Linked DNA regions of Schizosaccharomyces pombe. The protein of the gene in region 3 binds, or shares a complex with, the protein of the main gene of each other region. Each region holds a gene or a part of one and is shown on either strand. Other genes may lie near its edges.

The links.
Region 1: tim23 (region 3) and tim21 share a complex: the UniProt entries of both Schizosaccharomyces pombe proteins name them as parts of the TIM23 complex.
Region 2: tim23 (region 3) and tim17 share a complex: the UniProt entries of both Schizosaccharomyces pombe proteins name them as parts of the TIM23 complex.

Annotation. Positions count from the first base shown.
Region 1 is NC_003423.3:4,396,182-4,401,262, reverse strand, and holds tim21 (TIM23 translocase complex subunit Tim21), read right to left. Parts: upstream 1,965-5,081; 5' UTR 1,944-1,964; coding exon 1,272-1,943; 3' UTR 862-1,271; downstream 1-861. Other genes in the region: adn2 (transcription factor), read left to right, coding at 1-647; uap1 (UDP-N-acetylglucosamine diphosphorylase Uap1/Qri1(predicted)), read right to left, coding at 2,496-3,923; DNA-directed RNA polymerase I and III subunit Rpc40, read left to right, coding at 4,164-5,081. UniProt on the Schizosaccharomyces pombe protein: Essential component of the TIM23 complex, a complex that mediates the translocation of transit peptide-containing proteins across the mitochondrial inner membrane. Required to keep the TOM and the TIM23 complexes in close contact.
Region 2 is NC_003424.3:1,449,066-1,454,415, forward strand, and holds tim17 (TIM23 translocase complex subunit Tim17), read right to left. Parts: upstream 2,310-5,350; 5' UTR 2,146-2,309; coding exon 2,014-2,145; intron 1,940-2,013; coding exon 1,577-1,939; 3' UTR 862-1,576; downstream 1-861. Other genes in the region: cysteine synthase-like protein Cys12, read right to left, coding at 2,892-4,079. UniProt on the Schizosaccharomyces pombe protein: Essential component of the TIM23 complex, a complex that mediates the translocation of transit peptide-containing proteins across the mitochondrial inner membrane.
Region 3 is NC_003421.2:884,221-889,681, reverse strand, and holds tim23 (TIM23 translocase complex subunit Tim23), read left to right. Parts: upstream 1-2,901; 5' UTR 2,902-2,948; coding exon 2,949-3,581; 3' UTR 3,582-3,996; downstream 3,997-5,461. Other genes in the region: ubiquitin hydrolase Ubp1, read left to right, coding at 1-245; mrpl31 (mitochondrial 54S ribosomal protein mL60), read right to left, coding at 477-824; oca8 (cytochrome b5), read left to right, coding at 1,295-1,442, 1,949-2,040, 2,127-2,276; sorting nexin Atg20, read right to left, coding at 4,509-5,461. UniProt on the Schizosaccharomyces pombe protein: Essential component of the TIM23 complex, a complex that mediates the translocation of transit peptide-containing proteins across the mitochondrial inner membrane.

The DNA of each region.
Region 1 (5,081 bases), on a different chromosome or scaffold from region 3:
ATACTACTGAAAATCTTAATGGCATCAATGAGTCAAATATGCCTATGTTACAAAATGGTCTTCCTTTACGTACATCAGGTGATCATCCATCAAACTATTCTAATCTGATTGAAAACTCATCTACCTCTGACACAAATAATGCGGACAATGGAATGGACGTTATGGGGAATTGGCAATTACAACAAACTCATTCATCGCGACCCACTCCAAATGCCAGTTCTCCATTGGACGTTCGATCAAAACAAAAGCCTTCTTCTGCTAATTCAAATGCTCCAACTCCAGCACCGACCGTCAACACTACCAACCCCGAATCATCAACAAATGAAGCAACAAGTGTAGGTCCTGCTTTGGAACCATCGCAAGGAGCAAATGTTCACAAATCCGATTCTGAGTTGGATAATCAAAATCAGTCAGGAAAATCAAATCCTGATACTTCCGCGACTCCTTCTGCACCTACGGAGTCTACCACAGTTGCCACTAAATCTTCAGACAATCAATTATTGGATGTTGGAAATTCAACAGACATCGATGCGGCTCTTCTAAATGATTTTGACTTCGACAAATTTTTAAAAGATACTAGTACTGGTGACGATTTATGGTTTGGATTGTTTAATTTGCCGGATAATGAAGACTCGACTGCTGCTTAATTTTGTCGAAACTTAAGTATTTTATCCTTGTTTTTCTTCTTTTTTAATTTGTTTATTTGGAAATTATATACCAGATTTTTTCATCTTTTTTGAATGCGTTGCGTTTTGTCATTATAAAAATTTAATATATAATTAATTGCTAGTTGGATATGGATTAGTGTACTCGGTTATAAATACCGGCCTACATCTTGTACTTTATATCTAATAATCAAAATTATTTCATGTGCTTTGAATCATTCTTATATTTTTTATAACTAAACACATTTAGGTAGTACATTAGATTGGCGATTAATCAGCCCCTGCGAAAAGGCCCCTCGTACAAATTCGCTTCTTTATACTAACTAATTAAACAACAAATCATGAGGTTCGATCGCTTAATTAGTAATAAAGTGTCGACGATTTTTTTATTTTTTGCAATATACATCCAAATACTGCATAACTAAGTGTGCTAATTCTGATAAAAATCATTAACATCGCCTGTAAATTAATTCGTAAATTAGAAAATTAATTCTCTGCGAAAAACCATTAATCAAACCATTAAAATCGAGAAATAATTCAATGATTTCCTTTTCGGTTGAAATTAACAGCTATACCTTTCCGTCGTGCGTTTATCATTCGGAAATTCTAATTTCCCCATGTAATATTTTTTAAGCTTCCCCATAAACCAAAATTCTTATGTTGTTGTCGTACAGAATTGGTATGATCAAAAATTATGATTTTTCCGTAATTTGCAACATCAACGAAAAGATATTCCCATTTATAGTCACCTTGAACATTTACAAGTCTTCCAAATACGTGCCCTTTTCTCTCATTACCGATTAAGTGAAATTGTAGTACTAGATGTTCTACACCATGGTGATCCCACACACGACTAGTCAATATACCATGAGTTCGACGAAGAGGATGCGTGGCTTCACCTAGGGCTTTCATGTGATCTCCAAAAACATATCGACATTCTTCATTAGCCTTTAAAAGTTCAAAAGCTTCATCACCGTAATGTGCCTCGCCCTTCCAGATACTAGTGACAAGTGCATATATAATCAATCCGAAAACGCCGCCTCCAAATATCACAATCGAAAAATTTCCAATATTAGCAGAAGTTCTGTATGCTTTTTGAGGAGCCGTCAAATCCTTCCAAGCTTTGTTAGACGGATCTTTGAAAATTCGTGCCAGGCGCCCTTCTTCTTGTGGTTTCCGTTGTTTATTGAGAGAATCAGAAGCCAAAGAGTATAATCTCCTCTGAACCAAAGCTGAAGAAAACCTTGTAGCGCTCTGCCTTTGAATAGTACGAATCATCTAGTTGATACAAAAAGATGCAAAGAAGATGTATATAGTGACGAGGCTAAACGGCATAAAGGCAATGTCTAGTGAGCTCGACATAGGATGCAATGTAGTTCGTTAAATTTTTGAGCTTTAGCAGTGATATGGTTGTTACACCTCATTATTCCGTTAGTCAGGTAATTTAGTAAAAAGCATACTAAAATTTGAGAGTATTTAGCTTGAAAAGAAAGGAGTAATAATGCAACATCATGATTAAACAACGATATATTAAAAGTCAGGGTTATTTTAAAATGAACGAAAGCGAATTAGGTGGAAGATGATTTAGAAAATTTTCAGTCACTAATAAATTCAATAAACGCACGGTCAATTAATTTATTAAATTAATATATTAACAATCGAAGTAAAACCGTAATTGAAATCCTGAATGTTGATTTGCTGATTAAGAACAGCAATTAGTGCTTCGACGATTATTGTACAATATAAAATGAAAGTAAATAAATTTATCACATTGACTTTGTTACATTGTTTATATAAACCTTTAAAAATAGTTGAATATAGGAGAGGAAACTAGTAAAGTTTACAATTGCTAACCTGCTTCCCTTTAATCCACTCGAGTGATTCTCCTTGTAAACTACATTCTGGGGAAACATAGGTGCAGTCGCTTGGACTTAAGATACCACCATTCTTTAAAATCCAGCTTTTACCTAAACTCAAAATATCGTTTACACAAGTTTCATGGTTGTCATTGGGAGATTTACTTGAATTTTTTAGAGGACTAAATGAAGTCCTACGTGGTACCTGGAAACATCCAAAATTTTCAACTGACACACTGGGAAACAAATCGAAAATAAAACTCTCAAGTTTATATCCATTGGGATTTAAAGGTGTAGTATAATGATGAGACGTTACGTCGTAAAATGGAATTTTCTTGCATGCAAGGTGAATAGGAAGGGTACTTGAGTGCAAAGAAGCTTTCTGTAAGAAATCAAAAGAGAAATAATGGTATGCAATGTTAGCCGCACGAAGCAGCAAATGCTTGTGACCATCAACATTTTCTGTAGCTTTGCATGCTTCGTCAGAAATTTCAGAGTACTCTACAACACAAGGATGATTATGGGAAGATACAAGGAGACCCACTTTTTCAGCAGGATCGATTTTTTCAACAGTTTTAGTGGCAACCTCAAGTTTTTTAGTAGTAGCCATTCCTATGAATACAGGATCAACCGGCAAAACAAGAACATTGTCAACGCTATAAGCCGTAATATGGAGTATACCTCTTCTATTCATATCATTCAATGCACCAGAGGAAAGCAAAGCTTCATAAATACCTCCATTGCCGTTAGGAGCCCAAGCTAATGAAGAATCAGATTCAAAAAGGACCCTACCTGAGATATCTAGACAAGGTAAAACTCCTTGCTGGAAGAAAAAAACGTCTTTCTTATCAATACCAAAGAAATCATTCTCCTTAAAAAAAGAAATTGTCTCCTCTGACGTACATTCAGAAACCATTATATACCATGGAATGCTTATAGAGGCTTCTTGATCGGGAAATGCGGCTCTGGCGAGCGCCAACGATTTCTTAATTTTTTGTGCCTGCAGCTCAAAGATGCTCGGATTATTAGGCAGCCCAAGTCTAAAGCAACCTTTTGGACCAGCAAACCCAAGTCGAGTGCCTTGACCTCCTGCCAATACTAAGGCAGCTACATGACCTCTAGCAATTTCCCGAAGACCTGTTCTCCACCAACTTGAGTCAGACGTATCTACAATAGATAGTGGACCAACTTCTGAAGGGGACAATTTTCTGTTCTCTTGGCTTGTCGCTTTAGCATTTCGATACTTCAACCACAATGACCGTAAGTCCAATTGCTGAACTTGATTTAAAAGTTTCCTAAACTTTTGCAGGTCATTCTTTTTTAAATAATTCAATTGATCATACAAATGTAACTGATTAGTTTCTTCAAATATAGACCGATCAAACAATTCTTTGTCGTCCATTTCGTATTTAGCGTTATAAATACAGTCTAAAAAAAAAAAATGAATGTTTGGCAAACTTGAATCGCTAAAAAAATGCTATTTACGCTTCTTCAAGTGCTCTACTACTATTGTCAGTTAATTTGCAATGTCTTACTTTTATTCGCACTATCGTGTTTACCACACAATAGCGAATTTTTACGCATATAAAGGTTTTAAAAGTTTATATTGCAACTTCTCACCGTTTTTTTCATAAAATTAAAAATGGCAGCGGTTGACAGATCAAGGACAGAAATCTCTGTCCTTTCTGATCGTGTTACAGATGTAGGAAGTGTAGATTTTCCAGGTTATTATTTTGATGAAGACAACATCTGGGATCTTGATAAATTTAAAAAAAATTTAAAAGTTTCGATTACGTCTCTCGATCAAGAAACAATGGTATTTGAAATTTCTGGAATTGATGCATCCATTGCAAATGCATTTAGGAGGATTTTAATCGCCGAGATCCCAACTCTTGCATTTGAGTTCGTGTATATCATAAACAATACGAGCATAATACAAGATGAGGTTTTGTCTCACAGAATAGGTCTTGTACCTATATCTGCTGATCCTGACATGTTTAAATGGTTTCAACATCCTCTGCCAGGACAAGAGGCAACTCATACTGATTACGATACTGTTGTCTTTTCCCTTAATAAGAAATGCGAGTTTAATAAGAATGCCGCTACAGATGAAAAAGATCCAAAGAGACTTTACGTTAACTCTGAGGTTTATTCGGGTGATCTAATTTGGAAACCGCAAGGTCGACAGGAAGAGCGATTTGCTGACAATCCTATACGAGTAGTCAACCCAGATATTGTTGTTGCAAAATTGCGTCCTGGCCAGGAAATCGATTTAGAAGCTCATGCAATCTTAGGTATTGGACAAGACCATGCTAAGTTTTCTCCTGTTGCTACTGCCTCCTACCGCTTATTGCCTACTATACATATCTTGTCTCCTATTGAAGGTGAAGATGCAGTTAAATTTCAAAAATGCTTCCCTAAAGGAGTCATCGAGCTTGAAGAAGGACCTGATGGTAAAAAACAAGCCCGTGTAGCAGACGTTCGAAAAGACACCGTATCCCGCGAATGCTTGAGACATCCCGAATTTGCAGATAAGGTGCAATTAGGCCGCGTACGCGAT
Region 2 (5,350 bases), on a different chromosome or scaffold from region 3:
AGGTTAATGCAAGGCTTCAAATTAAAAGCTAATCAATGATAGATCAAGTTGGAGCCTTTATGTAATGATCATTTAAAGAAGCATAATAAGTTTAGATTATGTTTTAGTTTTTTTAGATTTTATTATAAACTTAAATGTAAGTAATTCTCAAAATAATTCATTACAATGTCTAGTTTTTGTTATTATAGTGAATATTAATCTACTTCTACATGTTAGACTCCTATCTTCTAGGACTCAAGAGTGCTAAATATACATAAAATGAATAACTCAATACCTAGGCTAGCAATAGTATTTGATTCCTTCAAAATAGGCAAATAGCAAAAAGCAAAAATGGGCTGTTGTGGGAATCGAACCCACGACCACCATCACCCTAAGATGGTATCATACCACTAGACCAAACGGCCACTTTAATTATAATAATTTTTAAACTTATACAATGAAATTAAAAATAATATGAGTAATATGATGGTATTTCTATAGTTTTAGTAATTTTGTGGGATATTTGGAGGTCTTTTCATAACTTAATTTAATGGGACTAAAGTATTTCATTAATGATCTAATTTATGCTTATTAAGTAAGGAGTTTGTTTACTCCCTTAATTTAGCGTTAGTAAACAAGAATACAAGTTTCTGTAATTTAAGAGTATGAATTTCAATTGCAATCATAATACCATCTCATACATATGGAAGTTATTCTCATTTACAGTTTACTTGCAGGGTACTGCAACTACGTGTAAGTAAATTGCATAGTGCTTGTTTCGATAATGGAAAATATATTTTTGAGCTACTGCTAGCTTCTGAGTACTATTGTCTTCTATGCTAATTTAAGCAATTTTGTCTAATTGAATTTGTTCTAAATAAAGCGAAAAAACAATATAGTTAGAAAAAGCACATTCTTTAGAAGCCTATCGAAACTCTTACATTTTAATTTACAAGCTTTGGTGCATTGAGCAATATTAGGCAGTCGATTAATTGATCTATTTCATCAAGCAGTCTAATAAAAAGCAAACACGATGCCGATTCAAAGAATTGCAGTAACGGTTTGAGTCAGTGGAGTATCAGATTCTAGGATACGAGAAAACGCAGAAAGGTATTCTTTTATTGTATTTGCATGGATTGTAAACTACTGGTAATAACGTTACAAAACCAAATCATTACTTTAACAAAGAAAAAGAAATAACGATCAGCCTACGAGATTAAAGCCCTAAAATGAACAAATTCACAACCCTTAAGCGTATTAATGGAAGTTCATGAAAAAATTGAACAGGATACGTATGCTGTCAAAAACTATTTCCAAAAAATGATTTATGTAAAAAAGATGGAGATTAGATTCAGTAAGTTCCGGAAAAGGCTTAAATGTCGAAATTTCAATAATCCGCCAAGTTTATATAGAGCTAACTTAGTATAAAGGAACCGGAAAACGAAAGATATTTTCAAAAAAATTGGAAAACAAGGAAATAGTGAATATGACAGATGACAAGGAATTTTTGGATACAATACGTTGATTGTAAGCATTAAAAATTATTAATACTTCGTTTTATCGCACAATTAAAATAATTTACAAGTACCAATCATTTTTAAACTGCAGCAGGAGCTGCAGAAGTGGAACCGGAAGCCGGGGCATCAGGTATAACTGGAGCGACAGGACGATTATATTCCGCATTCATACGGCCCAAAGCAATACCCAAACCCTCAAAAACAGCCAGAATACAAGCGCATCCAATTGCACCGTTACGAGTAGCCCTCCAACCGCCACGAACTGCTAAAGCACCACCGGTAAAAAAGCCTGCAATAATAGCGTTCCATGGGTCTTCTTTGCGACGAACACCTTTGACGGCACAATCAAATGTACTAAACAAACCACCCCAAACACCAAAGTTACCTCCCAAAACGGGAGCTCTAGTTTTAGCAGCTGCAATAGCAGAAATTCGTTTTTCTCCCTAATTAATAATTTCATTAGCAAATGCCTTCATTCTATTGCGCATTCAACTTTGCACTACTTGATTTAACTTACCGGTGGACTGTTCCTCCATCCTTTGATGGAATGCCAAATGGCACCACCTATAGTACCCATGGAAAAAGCAGCACCGAAATCATTCAAAATCACATAAGGACAAGGATCCCTGGTATGATCCGCGCTAGCCATTTTTTTCTATTTTCTGAAATGTTTCGATCCCTTGTGTTATCCAAACTCTCCGTATTTAATCAAAAAGCAAATAACCTTTCTAATTAATCGTAAAAAATGCTAGTTTACAGCCAGGTCGTCGTCTACTGACTGCACGTCAAATTTCGCAGGTTTGAACTAGGTTTACTCTTGCAGGCAACTCTATTACTCCCTCTTACTCCCTGTTTAACGAGTGCTGACGATTCCGCAAACAGAATTCAGCATCGTAAAGCGGAGCTTACAATACATAGCGTAGCTCAACGTAATACAAATTGTCATTTGAAAATTGAATAGTTCAGCTTAGCGGACAGTTGGATGAAGCTTGTTTTCTGTGCTATATAAATTGTGAAATTTAAAACAAATTTATGAAGGCATTTTAGTTGTCCACATGTTTCTTTCTGAAAGTGTAACAATACCTTTACAACTACGAAAACAATTGAAAAGTATGTGCTATATGATATTTTCGATATTAGACAGAGCGATTTATTATGCTTTAAAAGTCGATATACTAAGAAATTTCAGTTTTTTTGGTAATTGGGGATAATCAAATTTTTTTTTTTTTTAATAGCAAAAAGTATTTGTTCAACTACGAATGAAAATAAATTCTACTAACATTAGGAAAACAAACATAATATTAGGGCATACATTCACGTTAACACAAACAAAGAAAACAGAACTATCGATTAAATTAAAAAAACGTAGTTTATCGAAACTACCAGAGGAACAACCTAAGCTTCAACAAAATCTAAGGAAGAAGGAACTTGTGGAACAATGTTTTTTTTTCGCAAGAACTCTTCGTTATACAGTTTTGAAAAATGGCGAGATCCAGGATCGCAAAGAAGAGTAACAATTCGATGACCAGGGCCCAACTTTTTAGCAAGACGGACAGCAGCGACGCAATTAACAGCAGAAGAACTGCCGACAAATAAACCATCATGGGTGACTAAGTATCGAGACATAGCTACGGCCTGCTCATCAGTTACTCTGTAAGCCATATCAATAAGGGGTTCAGCGATAGAAAAGTTGCGTGTCATTCGATTAATACCCACTCCTTCAACGATGGTATCAACCTGATGTCGCCGACGAGTTCCTTCTCGTTCAGCCAAATCAAACATCACACCGTGAAGAACTTTATGATATAGGCCACTTCCGGGAGGATCAGCAAGACAGACGGTGATGGAAGGATCTTTGGACTTTAGGTAGCGAGAAATACCAGCGATAGTGCCACCCGTACCAGAACCGGCAATAAATGCATCTAATTTTCCAGCACATTGACGCCATATTTCAGGACCGGTAGAATTGAAATGAGCTTGCCAATTCGCCGGATTCTCAAATTGATTAGCAAAGTATCCTTTGCCAGGAATGGACTCGTCGACGGTATGATTGGCAGCATTACGACGAGCCGTATTTACAAAATGATTTGGATCGACGATGGGAGCTGGAGTTACTCTTTGAACATGAGCACCCAACAATTCAAGTATGTCACTTTTTTCTTTAGATTGGTCACTAGGCATATATATACGAGAGTCATAGCCAAGTGAACAACAGAGCATAGCTATCGAAATACCAGTAGAACCGGCGGTTCCTTCATAAACAGCATTCGATTGATAAGGTACTAAATCTCCATTTTCTTCTGCTGTGCGAATCATCTGCAAAGCAACACGATCTTTAGGAGAATTTCCAGGGTTCAGAAATTCCGCTTTGGCGAGGATATCGCAGCCCGTCGCTTGCGAAAGAGATTTTATCCTGACCATTTTAGTATTTCCAATTAGTCCTTCTACTCCATTTACGATGTCTTCTTCCAACGAATCGGCTGACGATTTGACGCGAAGAGACTCGTACAAACGACGTAAAAGGTACATGAAAACTGCACCCATGGCGATTCCACTAGCTAGATCCTGATATTTTTTCGCCATTACATAAATCCTCTCGGTTTTATAATGTCAAACGTTTATATTTACACAAACTGGGTGTACTCTACGATAACACAACAACCCAACCACCAATACTGTTGGTGCTTCCAAAAGATAAAATTAACAAAAAAAAAGACGAACAAAAATCCACGAGAAATAAATACAAAAGGAAATGGCTCGAAATGGCGAAATTTATGAAGAAACTAGTTAATTCTAACTACCTGTATAAAGAAGCCCAATGGTATATCACTAGGTTACATGCTACCCAAAAAGGTTGAAATTATAGTGGCATCGTTGGCGTTCACACTTTGAATTGGTTAACATGGATATACGAATCCAAAAAATCTCTAGAACTCGATTGCAAAAAAATTGATTGACAACTATAGAATGCTTTTTATAGCCTCACCCCTTTCATTCCATTCAAATCGTTTTTTATCGCGTTGTGCATTGCTATTTTACTAATTCGTAGAGCGATGTGAAGGTTATCTTTCGTTATTAGTTTAACGTATTGAAAAGTAATCGCCCTAGGTTTTTTAATAACGCGCTATACTCCTGTAAAACATTTCAACGAGATTTTATGCAGCACAAACTTTTTTGCTGTGCTTTCTTTGCATGTTCACTGGTATGCCAAAATGATAAGAACATCCCAAATTATAAGAATAAGTAAGTAAATGGAATCTTTCAAACATGATCCTAGAATAAAATTATTAGCCGAGAAAAGCTGAATGATTCAAAAGGGAGCTGTAATTGACATTGCGGCAGAGTTTCTTACGGCCTGAATCTGACCCTTTTCCTTGTAAACAAAAGGTGTCCAATGTTGTCGCTCACTGTATCAAATTAAGGAAAATAAGGAAAAGATAAAAGACTTTATTGAAAGTTTGAGAGGGGTTTATTGTGCTAGATTACGTTTTATTGTTAAGCAGCAACTCTATCTACTCGAGTCGAGAAGGAAACTACTTACGTTTGACTTGGTAATGAATGAAAAATTTAAAGTTCCTCAATTCGACATCGTCAAACATGAACCAAAATTATAAAGTTCTTACTACTGGACATGTCATGAATATAGTAAACACATGAAAATAACCCGGCTAACCTTATTGATCTTCATTATCATTGTTGTTCTTATTAGTTCTATGAATTATTGTTGCAACTGGACACATTAATGTAAAGTCTGCTTTGCTTCTCAAATTTAATGACCGTCACAAATTACCAAAGTACGGCTTCCAAGCACACAATCCCAGTCATGCCATTCTAAGTCGGTTGCCAAATATCGG
Region 3 (5,461 bases):
AGCAATTTTTGAGTCCATTTATAAAAGATCATGAGTGGCTATCGTCACAGAAATCGATGCTTTACGATTTGTATGCAGTGGACAATCATCACGGGTTTATGAGTAATGGTCATTATACTGCCTATGCAAGAGATGCATCGAGCCAAACATTCTTTAAGTTTGATGATACAGCTATTTGTGAAATAGATCCGGAGGATATTGTCACATCGTCTGCTTATGTATTGTTTTACAGAGCAAAGAATTAAAGAGACGTATAATAGAGGTGATATGAACTTTACTCTAACTAAAGGCTAATGTCGTTTGTTTGAATATGTATGAAACTGGAAATTGAATATGAACGAAGACGAGGAAGAGGTGGGAGTTTTTGCAATAAAAAAGTAATAAAATAAGCTATTAAAATAATCCATTACATTTATTATTCATAGAGCATTAAAATTATGAAAAAAAAAGTAGTAAACTTTTGCAACCAGACGTTTTTAAAAGCCAGTGGGATTAACACGATTAGTACTACGGGTCCATTTTGGTGATTTATGGACACCCTTGCGGAAGCCTTGGAGACCGGCACCTTGAGTCTTCCTGGTAAACATAGTGTATTTATCCTTTGGTGACATTTGGGATTCAGGCTGATGGTTAGCAACGAAACTTTCAATTCGTTTGCACGATTGATTTTTCTCTTGCAACGCCGTGCGCAAAACATCTACCACCTCATCGACGGCACGAAGTCGTTGACGGTGACGATATTTTCTTCGCTGGGATAATCTCCAAGGTACTTTATGAACAAGACCGCCAAAGCGAGCCAAAGTCGAGTTAAATGCACCCAGCATATTTTTCGTATAAAATCAAAAGGAGAGGAAGAAGGTTGGATCAAAAAGAGCAAATAAAAATTTTTTGTTAAGTTTTTGGGTGATAGACAAATTCTGAGTAGTTGATGGTTTGTCACAAAGTAGTTTACGGCTCCAACGAAACAGCAAAGATGTGAACAAAAATTAACTTGATTAGCGTCCTAAATTGATTTAAATATTATATTGCCATTCAAATATAAACACTACACCTCCAAAATGGTGGAGTTGGTTAACTGAAGAATGATATAGGTTTTGGGTAAGTTCATATCCTTGGGTGTACCTTCCAACTCGAATCCACGTGACCACCTGCCAGTAAGAATCGGCTCATTTCTACTTCCCACCTGCTAGATAAATCGCGATAGGGCATTTGCAACCAACATCTCGAGAGTAATTAGCTCCTGGGTTATAACCGTTAAATACCACCTTTAAGGAAGAATAAGCAGAACTTGATCATGGCAGAGAAGACAATTACTGTTGAAGAAGTGTTAAAACATAACACTCGTGATGATTTGTACATTGTTGTAAAAGACAAGGTGTATGATATTTCCAAGTTCCTTGACGCTCACCCTGGTGGTGAAGAGGTTCTTGTTGATTTGGCCGGTAAGTAAATTTTTAGGGGTACGCGATAATGGAGGTCTTGAGGAAGATTGGTTGTAATGCATAAAAATTGGTCGCGATTGTGTGGAGTCGTAGAAATCGAAGTTTCAGACAACTAGCGTTACAAAACTTTGAATTTCACGAGAGTTTAGGTGTCGCATATACACATGTTCTTTAATTTGAAAGATTCAGGACGAATCTTTGCCGTAGGAACGTACAAAAATAGATGCGATATCCTGAATAAATACGATGTTTAATGCGACATTGTCATTGAAGGTGAATTGTTAAGTACAGTCTATATGTTCCAAGATTGATCGCTCTCTACTCGATGTTTTGTATTTCCAGTACTCTGAATACACTGAAATACATAATTTTGGAAAGATTGATTGACGATATCGCTTCGATTCTTCACATACGGCTTTTGGATTGGCTATACAAAGTTTCTGCCTTTCTCTACCATCGCTAGGGGCTTTTTTTTGTTCGTTTCTGTGATTATTAACTTGTTTTAGGTCGTGATGCTAGCGGTCCTTTCGAGGATGTTGGTCACTCTGAGGATGCTCAGGAGTTGCTCGAAAAATTTTACATTGGAAACTTGCTCAGAGTATGTCATTTATTTTTTCTCTTCGTTCGCCATAGGCTCGTTAAAATTTTTGTAAAAATTTGCTTCGACACTCTAACATATTTTAGACTGAAGATGGCCCTCAGCTTCCCACAACTGGTGCTGCCGCTGGTGGAAGTGGATATGATTCTTCTCAACCAGTTAAGCCTGCTATGTGGCTCTTTGTCCTTGTGATGGTTGTTGCTTACTTTGCTTTTCGCAAGTATGTCCTCAAATAGACTGCTTAAATTCCCAGTCTTACTTTTGCGCTCAAAGAAATTTAAAGGCCTTCTTTCGTTTTGGGTCGTTTAAATGTGCTGAATATGGTTTTGTGATTTTGAGCTAGCAAGTTTCGTTTTTTGTTGTTGTTAGATATCTACTTTAGCTTTCTTTACCTGTTCGTACTTAGGATATTTACGGATTCAATGTATTCCTTTAACACGCTTTGGTTTGGCTCTTAATGTGAATGGCATATTAATATTAATAGAGACCTTTGATTTGTCTGGACGTAAATTTAATTCACAACGGTCTTATGCTTGCTTTGCGTAACTGTATAATTGATAATACTTAGTGTTATATTTTTTGTATTTTCGTTGTTTGTTCTCTCATAAAAAAAAGTTTTATAGTTTCTTCTATTCTATTGTTTTATCGATGGACCTATGCCCAACTTGTCTAGAATTTTAAGCGGTGATCGAGTAAATAAGTTCGGGCGTTATTTAACGATCGAGGATTTATTCATTAAGTCTTTTTTTTTATATATAAATGTAAATTCATGATAATTGCGACACTTTTTACGTCTCAACAATTTTTTTCTACTATTTTAATTTAGGTGCTAATACACAGTTCCTGTAACCACCGCTACCTGCAGACAACCACCATCGCGCCTTTGCGAAAAATCAACTTTTTAAGATATGTCTTGGTTGTTTACAAGAAATAAAGAAGAGGAACCAACCTCAAAGATTGATTCTTCTGAATTGCAGGTCCCTACCGAGGCTACAGCCTCAGATATTTTATCGGGTTCTGAATTCGATCCCGCCAAGTTACATCCCCTCGCTGATTTAGATAAACCTCTGGATTACTTATTGATTGAGGAAGATGCTCTTTCTACTCTTCCAGGCGATAGCATGGCTATCCCATCTCGCGGATGGCAAGATGATCTTTGTTACGGTACTGGAACTTCTTATTTAAGTGGATTGGCGATTGGTGGACTCTGGGGTCTCAATGAAGGCATGAAGAAAACTAAAGATATTACTTCCACACGGTTGCGCCTTAATGGTATTTTGAACGGTGTTACACGACGTGGTCCTTTCGTTGGTAATTCCTTGGGTGTGCTTGCCCTCGTGTATAATGGAATCAATTCTTTAATAGGCTACAAGCGCCAAAAGCATGGATGGGAAAATAGTGTTGCAGCTGGTGCATTGACAGGTGCTCTTTACAAATCTACTCGTGGACTTCGTGCTATGGCTATTAGTAGTTCGCTTGTAGCCACTGCAGCTGGCATTTGGACCCTTGCAAAGCGTTCTTTCACTAAGCGACTTAATTAAAAAATTCTTTTGTAACTTTTGGTTATAAAATTTGTACGATAATGTGAGTTAGGTGTTCCTTTTATGACACTCATTTTCTCTCACTCTTGTGCGGACCCTTTTTTCCCTAATTTGTAAATCCGACAATGGATTTATGTCTTTTGGTTTTATTCATCTCATTTATGTCGTTTGATTTTCCTAAAAATTCAATTCTATCAACACCCTTCTGTCAAAAAGAATTGACTGCGTTTCTTTTTCCTCGCATTTGTAATATCTCTGAATCCTTGATCCTACCTCCTTTTCGCAAAGGGAAGGAATAAAACTACTGAACAAACATACGGGTTCTTACATTTTGTTTTGTTGGAATCCTTTTATTTGAACAGTACATTCATATTTTGACATAAATATCACTTTTTTGTATCATTTTTATCCCACAGCTTTTTATTACATTGTATTTTTGTACGTGATCAATATGGAAAGAAGGTTAAAGTTCTTGTTAAGTAATTGTTTATTCAAGTAATTCGTAAAATGGCTCTATTCGAGCACACTTTAACTAACAAAAAAAGAGAAAAAGGGTAGAGAGAAAAATGAAAGGATTTAAACGATTTGTCGGTACATATTGATAAAAAGGTAAGAGGAGGAACAATGAATATTCACAAAGAAGAACAGCTTTCATTGTATGCTTTAGTATTATTAATATTTCTAAATCTATAATAGCATTAAATAAATTTTTCATTAATAAAATGTACTCGACCTTAAAAATTTATCCAAGCGATAGATCTTCCAAGGGAAATATGACTTTCATAGTTAAGGCTTGTCATGTGGTATTATTAGTCATTAACAAAATCGTAAAAAAGAAACATAAAAAAGGATGTATGCAGAAATTAAAATAAAATACAAAGTATGTAAGACTCGGAATGCAATTATAAGCAAACCTACCCAACGTACTTATATGTCCTTCGATAAATTTTCGAGTTCTTCACGAGTTCGCAACCATCGTTGTAAATTTGTTTGTGCCCATTTGTAGATACATTCATGAACAGATTTAATTATTTCTTCCCACTGCGACGTCTGACATTCTTTGTAGAATTTAAGCTCTGCATCCATGAATTCGTCAATTTTTTGACAATCCCAATTTGCAGCCGCTAGTTGATTCTCTATGGTATTCTTATGCTGCTGGAGACTTTCTTTGCTAATGGAGGTTTCACCTTCTACAAAGTCATGTAAAACGTTTTGTAAGCGACCAAAAATTGTGTAACCCTTTTTGGCTTGGGAGACAACTGCTCGTTGAATAGTATTCAATCTGGTCGCCGGGTGTATCGTGGGTGAAGCAGCTACCATAGAGTCGGTAGCAGACATTGTGTTAGAGTGGATGAGCTGGTCTTGAAGAAAATCTCGCTGTTGTATCTTCAATTGCTTATACTTAAGAGCATCTGCGGCACACTTCGCCAGCTGCATAGACTGAACCATTTTTTCATAGACGGAGGAATTAAATTCTTGTTCGAATTCCTTGGCGTACATTCCGCTGAATTCAAAGGCATTAGCAATCACTTGCAAATGATTTGCTAATTGTATTTCATTGAGAGCAGTCAAAGAGTGAAATGCCGATCCTAACTTTGAAAGGCAAGACTCCATTTTAGAAATACTAGATAAAGTTGAATGTATGGAAGGACTCAGACTATGATGAAGGAATTTCCGACAAACAATCACTTCTTGAGTATAGGAAGTCAAATCTTTGAGTACTGGAGAGGGTGCGTCTTTACCATTAGAAATGCTGGAACGACGCTGTGTGGGAGATAACTCCGAAGGTGAGCTATTGTAATGTGGAAAGTCTGGTGCCGTTGGGGTAGAAGGACTTTCATTCAATTCATGCGTAGGTTGCATATCGCTTGTTGGGGGAT